2 linked regions of the Saccharomyces cerevisiae S288C genome follow. The gene in region 1 interacts genetically with each later gene. Each region holds a gene or a part of one and is shown in the gene's direction. Other genes may lie near its edges.

The links.
Region 2: mutations in RSF1 (region 1) and AIM45 together harm fitness more than expected from each alone (negative genetic interaction), as found in Saccharomyces cerevisiae (2 studies listed by BioGRID).

What each region holds. Positions count from the first base shown.
Region 1 is NC_001145.3:326,950-335,033, forward strand, and holds RSF1 (Rsf1p), read left to right. Parts: upstream 1-3,843; coding exon 3,844-4,974; downstream 4,975-8,084. Other genes in the region: YMR027W (putative methyltransferase), read left to right, coding at 1-340; TAP42 (Tap42p), read left to right, coding at 533-1,633; FAR8 (Far8p), read right to left, coding at 1,711-3,282; EIS1 (Eis1p), read right to left, coding at 5,263-7,794. UniProt on the Saccharomyces cerevisiae protein: Mitochondrial and nuclear transcriptional activator required for respiratory growth.
Region 2 is NC_001148.4:561,794-569,301, reverse strand, and holds AIM45 (Aim45p), read left to right. Parts: upstream 1-4,260; coding exon 4,261-5,295; downstream 5,296-7,508. Other genes in the region: methylisocitrate lyase ICL2, read left to right, coding at 306-2,033; HAL1 (Hal1p), read left to right, coding at 2,631-3,515; YPR003C (uncharacterized protein), read left to right, coding at 5,534-7,508. UniProt on the Saccharomyces cerevisiae protein: The electron transfer flavoprotein serves as a specific electron acceptor for several dehydrogenases, including five acyl-CoA dehydrogenases, glutaryl-CoA and sarcosine dehydrogenase.

The sequences.
Region 1 (8,084 bases):
CGCAAACGAAACCAAATACCATGGATCCATTTTGCACAAAGATTTGCAAAAATCCAATTTGGTTATTTTTAAGGGTGATCTAAACTATAGAAAATTAACTGGCGACAGAAAATGGCCCCGCACCACTAAATGGGAAACGGCTATCGGACCTCTTGCTACGAATGGTATTACATCATTGAGCTTGAGAACCTGTAAAGCCGATGTACAAGTTGCTTTACCTGAAGGTCTAGACGCGAAATTAAGTCAAGAATGGGAAAAGGAAAATCCTGGCCGTGGTTCTTGGTGGTGTTGTAGCGGTAAATGGGCAGTCATTTGTTTCTGCTCTGGTATACATAAATAAGAATATGATAAGTTCTCTATATAACTTTACTTTATGACTTTCCCTATGAAATGTTCCAAAAAAGCACATAGATTTTTAGTACGTGCCTTTTATTTTATGTACTTCTGATAAAAAAAAGAAAGCTCCTAAGGACAAATTACAATCAATGGCGAAAGAAGAGGAAGAAAGTAATAACGAGGAGAGATCATAAACATGGCGTCAGTAACAGAACAATTCAACGATATTATTAGCTTATACTCAACAAAATTGGAACACACATCTTTGAGGCAAGATTCACCAGAGTACCAGGGATTATTACTTTCCACGATCAAGAAATTATTAAACTTAAAAACAGCAATTTTTGACAGGTTGGCATTGTTCAGTACTAATGAGACCATTGATGATGTGTCTACTGCTTCCATCAAATTTCTAGCAGTTGATTACTATTTAGGATTATTGATATCAAGACGACAGTCGAATGATTCGGATGTTGCTCAAAGGCAGTCTATGAAATTGATTTACCTGAAAAAAAGCGTTGAATCTTTCATTAATTTCCTGACACTATTGCAGGATTATAAGCTTCTAGATCCTTTGGTTGGTGAAAAACTAGGTAACTTCAAGGATCGTTATAACCCTCAGCTTAGCGAATTGTACGCGCAACCAAAAAATAACAAAGATTTATCTGGAGCACAGTTGAAGAGAAAAGAAAAGATTGAGCTATTCCAGCGCAATAAAGAAATTAGCACAAAACTGCACTGCTTGGAGTTGGAATTAAAAAACAACGACGAGGACCACGACCATGATGAATTACTAAGAGAACTATATTTGATGAGGTTACATCACTTTAGTCTTGATACGATTAACAACATTGAACAGAATTTATTTGAATGTGAAATGCTCTCTAATTTCCTCAAAAATTCCGTACATGAAGTCAAATCATCAGGTACTCAGATACGAAAAGAATCGAATGATGATGATTCCACTGGTTTTACCGATAAATTAGAGAATATAAATAAGCCATTGATAGACAAAAAAGGTCAAGTCTTGAGGAACTTCACGCTTGTCGACAAAAGGCAACAACTGCAACAAAAAGTGCGAGGATATGGTCAATATGGACCAACAATGTCGGTGGAGGAATTTTTAGATAAAGAGTTTGAAGAAGGTCGCGTTCTTCAAGGTGGCGAAGAACCAGAGCAAGCACCAGATGAAGAAAACATGGACTGGCAAGATAGAGAAACCTATAAAGCTCGTGAGTGGGACGAGTTCAAGGAAAGTCATGCTAAGGGAAGCGGAAATACCATGAATAGAGGATAGAAAAAAATACCTATATACGTACACATAAGTATCTATTAGACAGATTCATATATTATTTTTTTTTCTGCCTACATCAGTTATATTTTAATCTTGTGCAAAAGGACTTCGTTATTTTTATTCACGGTGATTAACACCGGCGTAGAATCTACAATCAGATTTGAAGAAAATACCACAGGCTCTTTTCTTTCCGAGAAGTTGATGTCTGCTACGACAAATTCGTCGATGGATGGTTTTAGGTTTTCTAAATTCCTAAACTCAAAGTCTCCATTACTATATGATACGGTGATTATGCTGTCGTTCAAATCGAGTTGTATTGGTAGTGTTGACGATGGAGTCAATTGTTCCTTCAGTACAACTTTTTTCTTATCAAAAGAATAAACCAATAATCTCTCATTGCTTAGCTGAATCAGTAGCTTAGAAGTTTTTCTATCCAAAAATAAATGGTAACCTTCTTCTTCTGGCTTACCCGATAATATTGTATCAATCTTCAAATCAATTTTTTGTAGAAGCTTACCCTCGAAATCATATATGGTAAGCTGGTATGGATTTGAAGACAGTAATATTAAGGATTTTTCTGTTATACCCAATATACAATCCAGAATGTTTGTGGAATCATTACTATCATCGTCATCATTATCATGTGTTATTTCATATGTTTCTTTTATGTTAATTGGGACATCCTCAGGAGCCTCTATATTGTCCAATTCCCAGATTCTAATTTGAGATTTATTCTTACTAGCTATCAACAACCATTTATTTTTGAAGTCTATATTAATGATATCACTAGACGAAAACGGCTGTTCTGAGTCTTGTAATAGGTCCACATCTGAGATCAAAGATGCGCTAGAAATAGAGAACAATTTCAAATGGAAACTCTTTTCAATAACAAGGAGTTTGGACGTCGAAACCCAGAAAAATTTCATAATGTCGCTATCTTGCCCTAAAGATATTTTCTTTAAGAGTTTGGAATTCAAGTTTGCGTCCACTTGGTGTATTTCTAACGATTTGGTGTCTGCATCATAAAGTGCCATACAGTCCCCGTAGGAGCTGATAATGTCGACTTTCGACAATTCCGAGTGTATCTTGGATATTGTTTCATTATTTTCACGCTTGTTGGCTGTGCTAAACAAAGATTTCACTTTGGTTGGTGATGGTGACTCTGAAGGACCTTGCTTTGGATTGGGTTTGGTGTCCAAGAGGGCATTATTTAAAATATCCATCCCATTTGTCTTCGCACTGCCCTCTTCCTTGGGAGTATTCACGTTCAGTTTCTCTAAATCGTGCAATTCAGAACCCGCTTCTCTGCTATTTAATGACTCTAACTGATTGACCGTGTTAGGGCCTTTCAACAAATAAATTATTTCCTTCACATTTTCTTGAACAGCTAGCTTAGACTGCAGTAATGAATCAGGCACATGTTTTTCTTCCTTTTCACCTTCAGGAGAAACAGCTTTCGATTGTATTTGATTCAATTGATGCTTCAAATCTCTATTTTCGCCCTCTAGTTCTGCAATTCTTGCTTTCATTTCCGACCTTTCTAGCTCCCAGGTGATTCTATCTCTTTCATTCTTCGTGAACTCCGTTTGCAAGTAGTGCATTACACCAGGTAACGTGTAATGCGGATGAACATGTGCCTGGTTAATAGCCATATTGTTTTCCGGTCTAACTACACGCACTTACTTCTTTTGGGTTTCTTTATTAATGTTGTTGCTTGCTCCTCACATTTAGTCGTTCTAGGTGGCTTTTATCTAAGATTACGCGACGGGGAAGATCGCAAAGTTAAGACCAATAGAGTACTATACCATATCCCAACAAAGAAGCCTAGGGGATGGTGCAGCAGTAAAAACTGAATAGACTATAATAGATCATCCTACGTAAAACCCGAATAGGTTATCTCTTAAACCTTGTTTTCCTGTAAAGTTGTCCCGCGCATGTGAAGACGCAGAGAGTGGAGATCAATCTTAAAACAACTGAAGCAACTAGCACTTTCTTGACATTTAATAAGGAACTATTATCGCGTAAACCAAAAGAAACGCATGTAAAACATCTGCAAGTTACTCCATCATCTGACACCTAGAGACGTACGTATCAGAACGATTTGAGTGGAGGGGTACAAAAAGGGACTCTGTAGATCAAAAACTGTAATATTATCCTTTTTTTTACTTTCTGAGAAGCTATTCGAAAACAAGGAGATAGAACTACAAGCAGTTATGAAGGACCTAAATCCAGAAATGGGGAAATTTGCTACCACTAAAGGCCCTCCTCAAGACAATAGAGGCATGGTTGATATAGCGACACTGCCTAATTTTCCTGCCAACCGTAGTGGGACTCCTCGTGAGGAGATGTATCTGGCGCCCAACAAGATGGAAACTCCAAGGATACTTAATATGAATATGGTACCGGATTATTTGCAAAAAGAGAACTTCTCGCCAGATTTTTCTTCTGCTACCGTATCTGCCAAGTCATCTCCTGTCAACGTTACTCATGATGAGTCGCTTCCTCTGGGAACTATTGAATCGAATAGCACAAAGGATTCTAAATATGCAGTTCAACGGCAACAGCAACAAGTGGTAGATTTCATAGAGAATAATATGCAGCTACTGTCTTCAGAAACACTAAATTTTAGATCAGACATTATGAAAACTTTGGAGCTTCCCATTCCCAAGAGAAGAGATATTAAGGGAAACCATCTATCTAAACTATTATTTGCTAAATCACCTCTAACTATCAACACATATTGCCAATTTTATGACCGTAGAACCAAGCGAATTTGCAATCAAGAAATGATATGGAAAGATAAGAACAGTAGAGAGAAGCATGGTTCTAGAAAGTATCAAAGACATTTGAGTAAAGTTCACGATGTCCAGCTAACACCAAATAATTTTACCGAATTTTTTGATCATAATTCTCCACTTTTCCAGGAATGCTATGACTATCAATCTAGATTGATGCGTGATTTACTTGTTGAACCAGATGCCAAATTCAAAGAGAAGAAAAAGAAGAAAAAAGGGGACGTCAACGGAAATCATCCTGAAACCGGATCGAGCCTCATCAACCACCAGGTCCAACAGCAAAATGTTCGAGAACTTCAATCGAAAATAGCCATGAACGACTTGATAGAGATTCTTATCGATTTAAACATTCCGTTTTCTGTTTTAGACTACCAACCAATGAGAAATTGGCTCATCAAATATTCAATAATTTCAACAGATACTTTGCCGGATGAAGTATACTTCAAAACTGATCCAGGCGTGAATGAACTGGAACACAACAGTAGTAATTTAAACAATAGCAATAGCGGTACTCCTCATAATCATAATCAAAACCAACATACCAATTAATTAAAACTTGCTTTTAATCTGCATACATAAAACTTAGATCAAATAAATAAAAAAAAAAGTAAAACAACCATATATACTATTTCATAAGCAAAAGTAATCAAATTAAACAAAAAAAAGAAAATACAAATATTAAATTTAAATTAAGGCAATAAACATATATTATACACATAAAAAGAATAATTAAAGCGCAGATGAGAACTATCTTAATTATCAAAATTCTGTAGTATCCCACTCAACTGTTCAATATCTTAGCCGCACCATTTCTTCGTTATCTAGGCTCACTAGCAATTATTTTTTCTCTTGATTACTAATTGCATCCTGATCGTCTTCGATCGAAGAACCCTGTGAAAAGCCACTAAATGTATGTTCCAAACTATCAGGGCTAACTCCCAATGATTTATTGTTTCCTGCTTTCTGTGAAACCGAGATTTCTTTTGAATGCTCCGCTGATTTACAATCATTAGCGTCTTCTTTTCCACTTGATTTATTTCCGATCGAAATTTTTTCTTCAGGTTCCTTTGTTTGAACAGCAGAACTAGTTTCGGTAGCTTCTTTTGCGGCAGTACTCACCGGAACCCCATCACCACCTGAATTTTTCGTTTCGGCTCCCACTATCTCTTCCTTCTTTAGTTCATCACCTTCCTCTATTTTTTCAAGTTGGGTTGGTAAATCTTCAACATTTTTCTCGACGGATTTGTTTTGTGTTAAATACTCCTCAGAAGTCATACCAATCAATTTTTTAACCTTCTCTTCGTCAATCTTATCATCGCCACGTGCAGAAGCAACATCTTTCATAGCTTCCAACAAATTTAGTTTTTCCTTCTTTAACTCGATTTCGGTCGCGTTCAACTCGCTCTTACGTTCGTTAATCAACGAATCCACTTCCAATTGCTTCAGACGGGCCTCCTTGGTTGATAACTCAGCCTGCTCTTTAGCCTTATTAGCAAGAATAATAACGTCATCATTCAAATGGGATTCCAAGCTTTCTTTAGTTTGACCTAGTTCCAGTAATTTGTCATCCTCTCTGATATTTCTATTCTTCTGGGCGTCAAGATCATTTCCGTAACCAGAGATCTTTCTTTTATGGTCAACTATAGCATCCTGCAATCTTGAGATTTCTGCGTTAATTTCATCGCGCTCTTCCACTAAAGTTTTGTGTTCCGCTTCTGCATTTGCCAGATCGTCATGGTAAGGTTTCAATAGTTCTTCTTGCTCTTTGCGCGCTTCAGTGATATCTTGTTCACATTTCTTACCCCATTCCTCCAAATCTTGATCTAGACGAGCTTTTTCGTCCTTTAACTCTTGCTGCATTTGCTTTTTAAATTCGATCTCTTTGCTCTTGGTATCTTCAAGCAGAGTTTCCCTTTCAGCGACTTTGGTATCCATTCTGGCCACAAGTGCATCAAAGCTGGCTTTAATCTTTTCCTGGGAGGTCTTTTTTTCGGTTTGATGCCTATTAGCCGTAGTAGTCAATACTTTGGCGTCATTAGAAATGATAGAACGTTCCATCGTTTCCCATTCATTTGATGATTTATTATAGGCCTCAGTTCTTTCTGCAATTTCTTCATCCATAGCACGTTGCGCCTCCGCCCTCTCACTCACTTCACCAAGTACAGGAGAAATCAATCCGGATGCGATTTTAGTGATATCTTCTGGTGACAAAAACAGGCCACCACCCATGTTAATCTTGTTATGGAATTCTGTCTTTTTCTGATGATTAGACTGTGCGACAGCGACAGCAGCTTTGTTGTATTCCATATTAGTGAATAGCTTTCTATGCATATCGCTTTTTTCAATGATATCCAATTGTCTGTCAACATTGGCTCTTGCCAAAGTCAAAACTTGCTGAGAAGTTAATTGGCTCAGATAGGTTTCCCTCTTCTGCGCCTTAAGAGCTATACTTTTGTCGATATCCTCACCAGGATGCATGTCTTTCACAGCATTAGCAGCTCCTAATGCAAATTTCATCGACTTGGCTTCTTTCTCAGCAGAAACTTTTTTGACCTTTTGTAAATCTTGTGCTTTTGGAGCATCAACTTTCGCCATAATGTTATTCATCATCTCATTGGAGAAACTGAATTGATTTAAATTACCATGCTCATCAGTCTTGACGCCGTATTGGAAGTTCGTCTTTTCCGGTTCCCATCTTTCCTTAATACGAGATTCTGCCTTTTTTTCAGCACCCACTAAGACTTTCTCCAAATTCAAAGTCTTTGGTTTAGGATTAACAGTACTGTTGAAACTGCCACTCGCGCCGCTTAACACAGAGCTGGCAGAGGTGATAGAATATGACCTGCTGTTTGTTTGAGAGCTTAAACTTGTAGTTTCCATTGTCATCGAATAAGCTTTCGATGCGGCGGCCCCTGGAGATTCTTTGGACTTTCTCTTCGTCTGAGATTCTTTTGAAGTTTTAGAAGTAGCAGAAGTTATTGAGTTGTTACGTACAACTTTGGGTCCCATTTTGGATGCAGCTTTAGTGGCATTAGGGTCAATAAACATACGTTTGTAAGCTTCTACCGTGGTTTGATTGTCATGAGCTAAATTAGCTGCCTTGTCGGAAGCTGCATGAGCGTCGCTGACGCCAATTGAGTAACTTTGGGCAGGTGACTGGTAAACCCCGTACTTCAACTTCGCCTTATATAAAGCCTCCCTGCTTAATGGTTCGCCTGTTGTCTGGTATACCTTTGGTTTTCTCAAAGATTTAGAGCCGTGTTTCAGCGACTTTTTCGACGAAGTTATAGACGAAGTCCTGCTCCCTCCACCAGAAGTCTTTCCTATATTATGTATGTCTCTATCTTCTACAGCTGAAATTAAAGACATTGGTTATTTTGCGTTGGTTCCCTATATGCAAAGCTATTTAACAACTAAAGACTGTGTAATCGTCAGAGTGCACTATTTTGCTTCTTTTCAAAGTAGCTGCCAAAGAGCTGAACCTTTAGGATCCACTGAATTAATAAACATTGGTGATATACTGCAAGCAACAAGGAGTTCTCCCCATCGAGTGGCAGTAGTTCTTCCCCCTCTCGAGGGTGCCCCTTTCGGTAGTTTGCGATTTTCTTCCAGAAGAGCACCGATTGCCCCATCCGGAAAGTACTATTTCCCTTTTGGGT
Region 2 (7,508 bases), on another chromosome or scaffold:
GTTACTAGCCGCTGTCCTCAGGTTAATGATCCAAGTCCGAGATCCGGGCCGAATATGCTTGCGGGGAAAGAAATAAAAGTGCATTGGAGAAGAAAAGGATATGCTCTTCAATTAGAAGCGCCGAAACACTAACATCATGCTAGCGATATCATACGTACACTATATAATGTAAAAAATGGGCTTAAGAATAACTCTCTTATTTCTTAACTTTTGTTGCGGTTGAAGAGCTTATAAAAGTACTAGTGGCCTAAAGAAGCTACAGCGCCGATAATAATATCGATTTCGACTTTTCTAGTATTTCGCCGATGATTACAATGATTAACAACAAAACTTTCAATAGAAAAACTACGGGAACACTGAAGAAGCTGGTTTTGTCATCAGACAAGTCACTGCGAAGATCTTTCAACGGGGCAAGCAGTACTAAAGACTTCGTGTTCTCGGAATCAAGTAAAGTAGAAGAATGGTGGGAATCAGCCAGATTTAAGAATATCAGTCGTCCATACTCAGCTACGGATGTTGTAAAGCATCGGGGCAGCCTTCCTGCTAATACTTCAATTTATCCTTCATCTTATCAAGCTCGAAAGCTGTTCAACTTACTAGAAGAGAATTTCAAGAATGGTACTCCACTTCACACGTTGGGAGTTATCGATCCTGTACAAATGAGTCAGTTGGCCCGTTGCAGAAATATCAAAGTTGCTTACATATCTGGTTGGGCTTGTTCTTCCACATTAGTTGGATCTACAAATGAAGTATCGCCGGATTTTGGCGATTATCCATACGATACTGTGCCGAATCAAGTGGAGAGAATATTCAAGGCGCAGCAATTGCACGATCGAAAGGCTTTCTTGGAGGCCTCCATCAAAGGTTCTACTCCTGTTGATTATTTAAAACCAATTATCGCGGACGCAGACATGGGTCACGGTGGCCCAACGACTGTAATGAAAGTTGCTAAGTTGTTTGCGGAGAAAGGGGCTGCTGGTATTCATCTTGAAGATCAGATGGTGGGAGGCAAAAGGTGTGGCCATCTAAGTGGGGCTGTTTTGGTGCCCACAGCAACACATCTTATGAGATTGATTTCCACCAGGTTTCAATGGGATATCATGGGGACAGAAAATTTGGTTATTGCAAGAACAGATTCCTGTAATGGTAAGCTGTTGAGTTCAAGCAGTGATCCGAGAGACCACGAATTCATTAGGGGTATAATAAGAGATAACGTGGTGCCTTGGAGCGAAAAATTGATTGAGATGGAGGACAAAAAAATTCCCAACTCCGCCATTGCTGACATGGAAAAAGAATGGTACCATGAAAATGAGCTGTTTACATTTGAAGAGGCCTTAGAAAAGCAGTTTACGGCAAGCGAGTTTGAAAGCTATAAAGAAAAGAAGGAAGACCTTATGGTAAACAAGCTGGGTAGAGCATACCTAAGCTTAAGAGAAATGAAACTTTTAGCTCAAGAAGTGACACCACTAAAGAAAATTATATTTGACTGGGATGCTCCGAGGACCAAAGAGGGATATTACATGTTTAACGGTTGTATTGAAGCAGCTATTAGAAGATCTTTGGTGTTTGCCCCATATTCTGATATGATTTGGCTGGAAACGAAAACTCCTGACCTGGAGCAGGCACGCTCATTTTCAAGAAAAATTCATAAACAACTTCCAGCTACCAAGCTAGTATATAACTTATCTCCTAGTTTCAATTGGAGCGCTCACGGCTTTGATGATAAGGCATTAAAATCCTTCGTATGGGACTTGGCAAAAGAAGGCTTCACGTTGCAACTGGTTTCCCTTGCCGGTCTGCATTCAGATGGAGTATCATTCTGGGAATTAGCCAATAGCTTCCAAAGTGACGGAATGAAAGCATACGTCGAAAAAGTGCAAAAACGGGAAAAGGAGACTAATTGTGATATCATGACACACCAGCTATGGTCTGGTGCAGAATATGTTGATTCCTTAATGAAAGTTGTCCAAAACGGTGCTTCATCCCAAACTTTAAGTACATCTGGTGAGAGCTTTACCGAAACGCAATTTTGAATACGCTTCAAGAAGATAAAAGTATAAATAATACATATTGCCAGCAACTTAGTCACATATCTCTTTTATCTCTATTTATCCTCTTTTTATTAATTTATGACCACGATCACTATATTTAGTTCGAAAGTTAGTGTTTGTTTTGCCAAGATATCCTCGCAGAAACAGTTTTACTTAAAGTTTCAGGTGTTGCGTGGAATGCCCCTGCTAAGCTGTCGTGTCGCGCTCTTCCCCGCGTTTGTTTCACATTATATATCATATGGCGTATGACGGTATGGGTGAAAATAAGCGTAGGCTGGTTGTGTGTATTTCTCTCGCACTTTGAAAGGGAAAAATAAAAATAGAGTCTATTAGGAAGCTCACATATGCCGGGAAAAATTACGTAAAGCATCAAAAGGGAAAGAAAATATAGGGAAAGATAAAACAAAAAGCAGAACGGTATCAGGCATTCTTGTTTTAGCCTTTATGTACGATATGGCGTTTATTATGGAGAATATTGAGGTATTCAACTATTTAATACTTGCTATAAATTCTGCCAAACTACTAATCATTCCGTTTATATAACTCAAGAAAAGAGAAATACAGAAACAAATAGATCAGATGCATTTCAAAGATTTAGGATTGCATGACTACACTCTCAAAAACTTGATGTATGAGAATAATTGCTGTAAATTTTATGATGCCGTGGATGAAAACAACATCTCATATGTTTTAAAATTTGTTCCCTCAGATGTGACTTCGGAAGGGGATACTTTCCCATTCGTGGATCGCTTTCAAGTAAAGGAAGGTGTTTTTTTGGTATATTCCTCAAATGACTTTGGAAAAGAAGGTACGGACTACTTTACTTATACTGGTAGTGGTGGAAATGAGGTTCACATCTCGGGCACCTCTTCAGAAGCAGGAATAAAACCGCAGTTTATTGAAACTTGCCATCCAAAACATCTTAAGCGGGGAACAAAAGAGCAGGAAGATATAAATAGTAGTACCTCAAAGAAAAGTGCAGTTATCAACAATTTTTCGGGTGAAAAAACACCAAATCCAAGGCCACAGAGTTCCAACATTTCAGAAAGAGAGACGTATGTCGGAATATTGAACGTCAAATGTAAAAATAAGAACTCATCGAAAATACGAAGTGAAAAATTGGTAAGCTCCGTCATCGAAACAAAGCATACGCCAGGATTGGCATCTATTTTATCGAAAGAAGGCACTACATATCCGAATAATGCGGACGGGAAACATATCAGTATCGTGAATCCATCCTCAAAAATATATCATTCATCCCATAAACAGATTGTTAAAACGCCTATCCCTAAGAGTGGCCTTTCTCCAATTGAGAGATGCCCTTTCAATGGTCAAAATATTAAATGCTACTCACCAAGACCACTAGATCATGAAAGTCCCCAACGTGATTTCAATAATAACTTTCAGCTGAGAATACTGAAGAGCTCGGTGTTGCAAAGGAGACAATCAACACAGAATAGTTGAAAAATTCGTTGGTACTAGCTTCGGGTCGGTTAGCTGCGCTGCTATGCATTTGTTAATATCTCCATCGAATTTTTGTTGTTTCGTTCAATAACTTTATTACTTCCCCCTTGGACTCTTTCGTTCTATCGTTCTACAAGTCCAGCCAAAATTTTTCCCCTCTTCCTTTTCTTTTGTTCACTTCTTAGCTCACTTATATAATTATATACTGATATTTGGATTCTTTTGTTGCAAATATGCTCTCCCAGATTTTTCTGTTGAGATGATTCATGCTTTACATGGATTGAGCATTAGAGAGTAACTATATCCAATTTCGTAAGACGAGTATCTACTTTCCCTTGTCCCCAGTAACCTCAGGAACGTGACAACTACTTTTCTTAAACTGTCAACAGCCAATGATACCGTATTCAATGCATGTCTTGGGATTAAGCCACTTTGATTGAGTTCCGTATTAGTAGTGAGAATTAAATCTTGCAAGATATAAGAATTACTCAACAGAGACGAGATACTTTCCTTTTTTTGGTTCTTTTGTTGTTACTTGGCTTAATGGACAAAGTCTGCTCGCATATTGTATATGTTACTCTTACGATGTGACTCCGCCCGTTTATTATGACTTTTCGGTACATTTTTAGGGCCTCGAACGAAAATCTACTAACTAAAAATTAAAAACAATTAAAATAATCAACAAACAAAATCTAGTGATATAATTTACTACCATTAACGGTAAAGCAGCTAATTGTTAATTTCTATGTTTAAATCATTGGCTGCTGTCTTGCCTAGAGCTAGCAAGGCAAAGTTCCTCCAGAAAAATTACGCCTCCACTTTAGCTTTCATTGAAAGCTCAAAAGATGGCTCTGTTTCAAGGTCATCATTGAGTTTATTGGCTGCTGCACAAAAGTTGTCTAACCCTATCACAGCTGTAATCACAGGTAGCAAAGCTGAAAAAACTGCTGAGGCGCTAAAATCTTCATATTCATGCAGCAATTTAGAAAAGCTTGTCATATTTGAAGATTCAAAATTAGATACCTGTCTTCCCGAACAACTAACTCCGTTATTAGTGAAACTATTAAAAGGCGGCGACTATTCACATTTTGTTGTCTCAAACTCCTCTGTTGGAAAAAGTGTTTTACCTCGGGTGGGTGCGCTCTTGGACGTCCAACCTGTTTGTGAGGTTACTGTAATCAAAGATCCTAAGACCTTTATAAGGCCAATTTATGCAGGTAACATTATTTCTACAATAGAATGCCAGGCAGAAAAAAAACTGTTGATTATTAGGGCATCAGCTTTTCCACCAATTGCAGAGGGTAGTATGGATTCTGTTACCATTGAGAAGAGAACTGATATTCCTCCTTGTGACTTAAATGTTACCTGGGTTAAAACTATTCTTACCAAGAGTGAAAGGCCTGAACTTACTTCTGCACAGAACGTGGTAACTGGTGGAAGGGCACTCAAGGATAAGGAGACATTTGAGAAGCTATTATCGCCGCTAGCAGATGTTTTGCACGCTGCTATAGGTGCCACAAGAGCTTCTGTTGATAATGGACTATGTGATAATTCTCTACAAATCGGTCAGACTGGTAAGGTAGTCGCACCAAATTTGTATATAGCCATTGGCGTTTCTGGTGCAGTTCAGCATTTAGCGGGAATGAAGGATTCGAAAGTTATCGTTGCCATTAACAATGATCCTGATGCCCCTATATTTAATGTCGCTGACTATGGGTTGCAAGGGGATCTTTACAAAATAGTCCCTGAACTAACTGAAAAACTTGGTAAATATAAATAAATAAATTCTTAACTTCTAAATATATTCATCTCTTCGCTTTGAAGGGGGCACGTTTTACTTTTCCTAGTTCTCTTGCCTTTTTAAAAATGACCTTTTCGGTGTAAAGCGGACTAAATATAAAAGACTACGAGAAATGGCAAAGGAATAATAGAGTTCTTCCAGATGGGAGAATATGAGGAGAACAATAACTCCACAAACTTCCTAGTGATTTCCAAGAACTTACGGAAACAATTATAGGATGACATCAAATAATTCGTTATTGGGGCGTGGAAGGATGTCATATTCCTCTACCGCTCCACCAAGATTCAAAAGATCAGTCGACCAGCGTGACACTTTCTCGGACAATTTTGATTATGATAAGGATTCATCCAATCGAGGCAGGACCTATATTGCAGCATCTAATTCAACTACTGGGGTACCCCCACCCAACAACTCAAGATCAGGATGCACCAATAATACAAATAATACAAATAATACAAGTAATACAAGTAATACGAACAATAATGATAGCGTTGATGAGAATACAGTGTTTGAAACTTTACCTTATTACCTGCCCTGCTTTTCATGGCTTCCTGAGTACACTTTCAATAAACTGTGGGGCGACGTAATCGCAGGTATCTCAGTAGCGTCATTTCAGATACCACTTGCGCTATCGTACACAACTTCAATTGCACATGTCCCACCTTTATGCGGACTATATTCTTTGGCTATTAGCCCATTTGTCTATGGTATTTTAGGTTCTGTTCCTCAGATGATAGTTGGGCCCGAAAGTGCAATTTCCTTGGTCGTGGGACAAGCAGTCGAATCTATAACACTACATAAAGAAAATGTTTCTCTAATTGATATTTCAACAGTAATAACATTTGTTAGTGGCACTATCCTACTTTTTTCTGGTATTTCCAGATTTGGTTTCCTTGGAAATGTTCTTAGCAAGGCACTTCTACGAGGTTTCATAAGTTCAGTAGGACTGGTTATGATAATCAACTCTTTGATTTCTGAATTAAAGCTAGACAAATTTTTAGTAAGCTTGCCTCAACACTACCATACCCCTTTCGAGAAAATACTTTTCCTCATTGATTATGCACCAGCACAATACCATATACCAACGGCAATATTCAGCGGATGTTGCTTGATTGTCCTCTTTTTAACGCGTCTACTAAAGAGGAAATTAATGAAATATCACAAGAGCGCAATATTTTTTCCAGATATATTATTGGTGGTAATTGTTACTATTCTTATTTCCATGAAATTTAATTTAAAACACAGATATGGTATTTCTATCATTGGCGACTTTAGCATGGACAATTTTGATGAATTGAAAAACCCTTTAACTCGTCCTAGACGTAAGCTAATACCAGATCTTTTTAGTGCATCTCTAATAGTGGCAATGTTGGGTTTTTTTGAATCTACGACCGCGTCGAAATCTCTTGGAACAACTTACAATCTTACCGTTTCCTCTAATAGAGAACTAGTAGCTTTAGGATTCATGAATATTGTCATCTCATTATTCGGTGCTCTTCCCGCATTCGGCGGATATGGAAGATCCAAGATCAACGCCCTATCAGGAGCACAAAGCGTAATGTCGGGAGTGTTTATGGGTGTCATCACCCTAATCACAATGAATTTACTTCTTCAATTCGTACATTATATTCCTAATTGTGTTTTATCCGTCATAACAACCATCATCGGAATTAGTTTATTAGAGGAAGTGCCAGGCGACATAAAGTTCCATTTGCGATGTGGTGGCTTTAGTGAACTATTTGTTTTTGCTGTTACCTTCTGCACTACAATATTTTACTCAATCGAAGCAGGAATATGCATCGGATGTGTCTATTCAATTATAAATATTATAAAGCATTCAGCAAAGTCAAGAATCCAAATTCTGGCTAGGGTAGCGGGAACGTCGAACTTTACGAATCTTGACGACTACATGATGAACATGAAAAGGAACTCTCTGGATGTTGAGGGCACAGAAGAAATCGAGGGATGCATGATTGTTAGAATACCTGAGCCTCTCACATTTACAAACAGCGAAGATTTAAAACAGAGACTTGACAGAATAGAGAGGTACGGTTCGTCTAAGATACATCCTGGAAGGAAATCACTTCGCTCGAAGGATTCCATAAAATATGTCATTTTCGATTTAGGTGGGATGACCTCAATAGATTCTTCAGCCGCCCAAGTGCTGGAGGAAATTATCACTAGTTACAAGA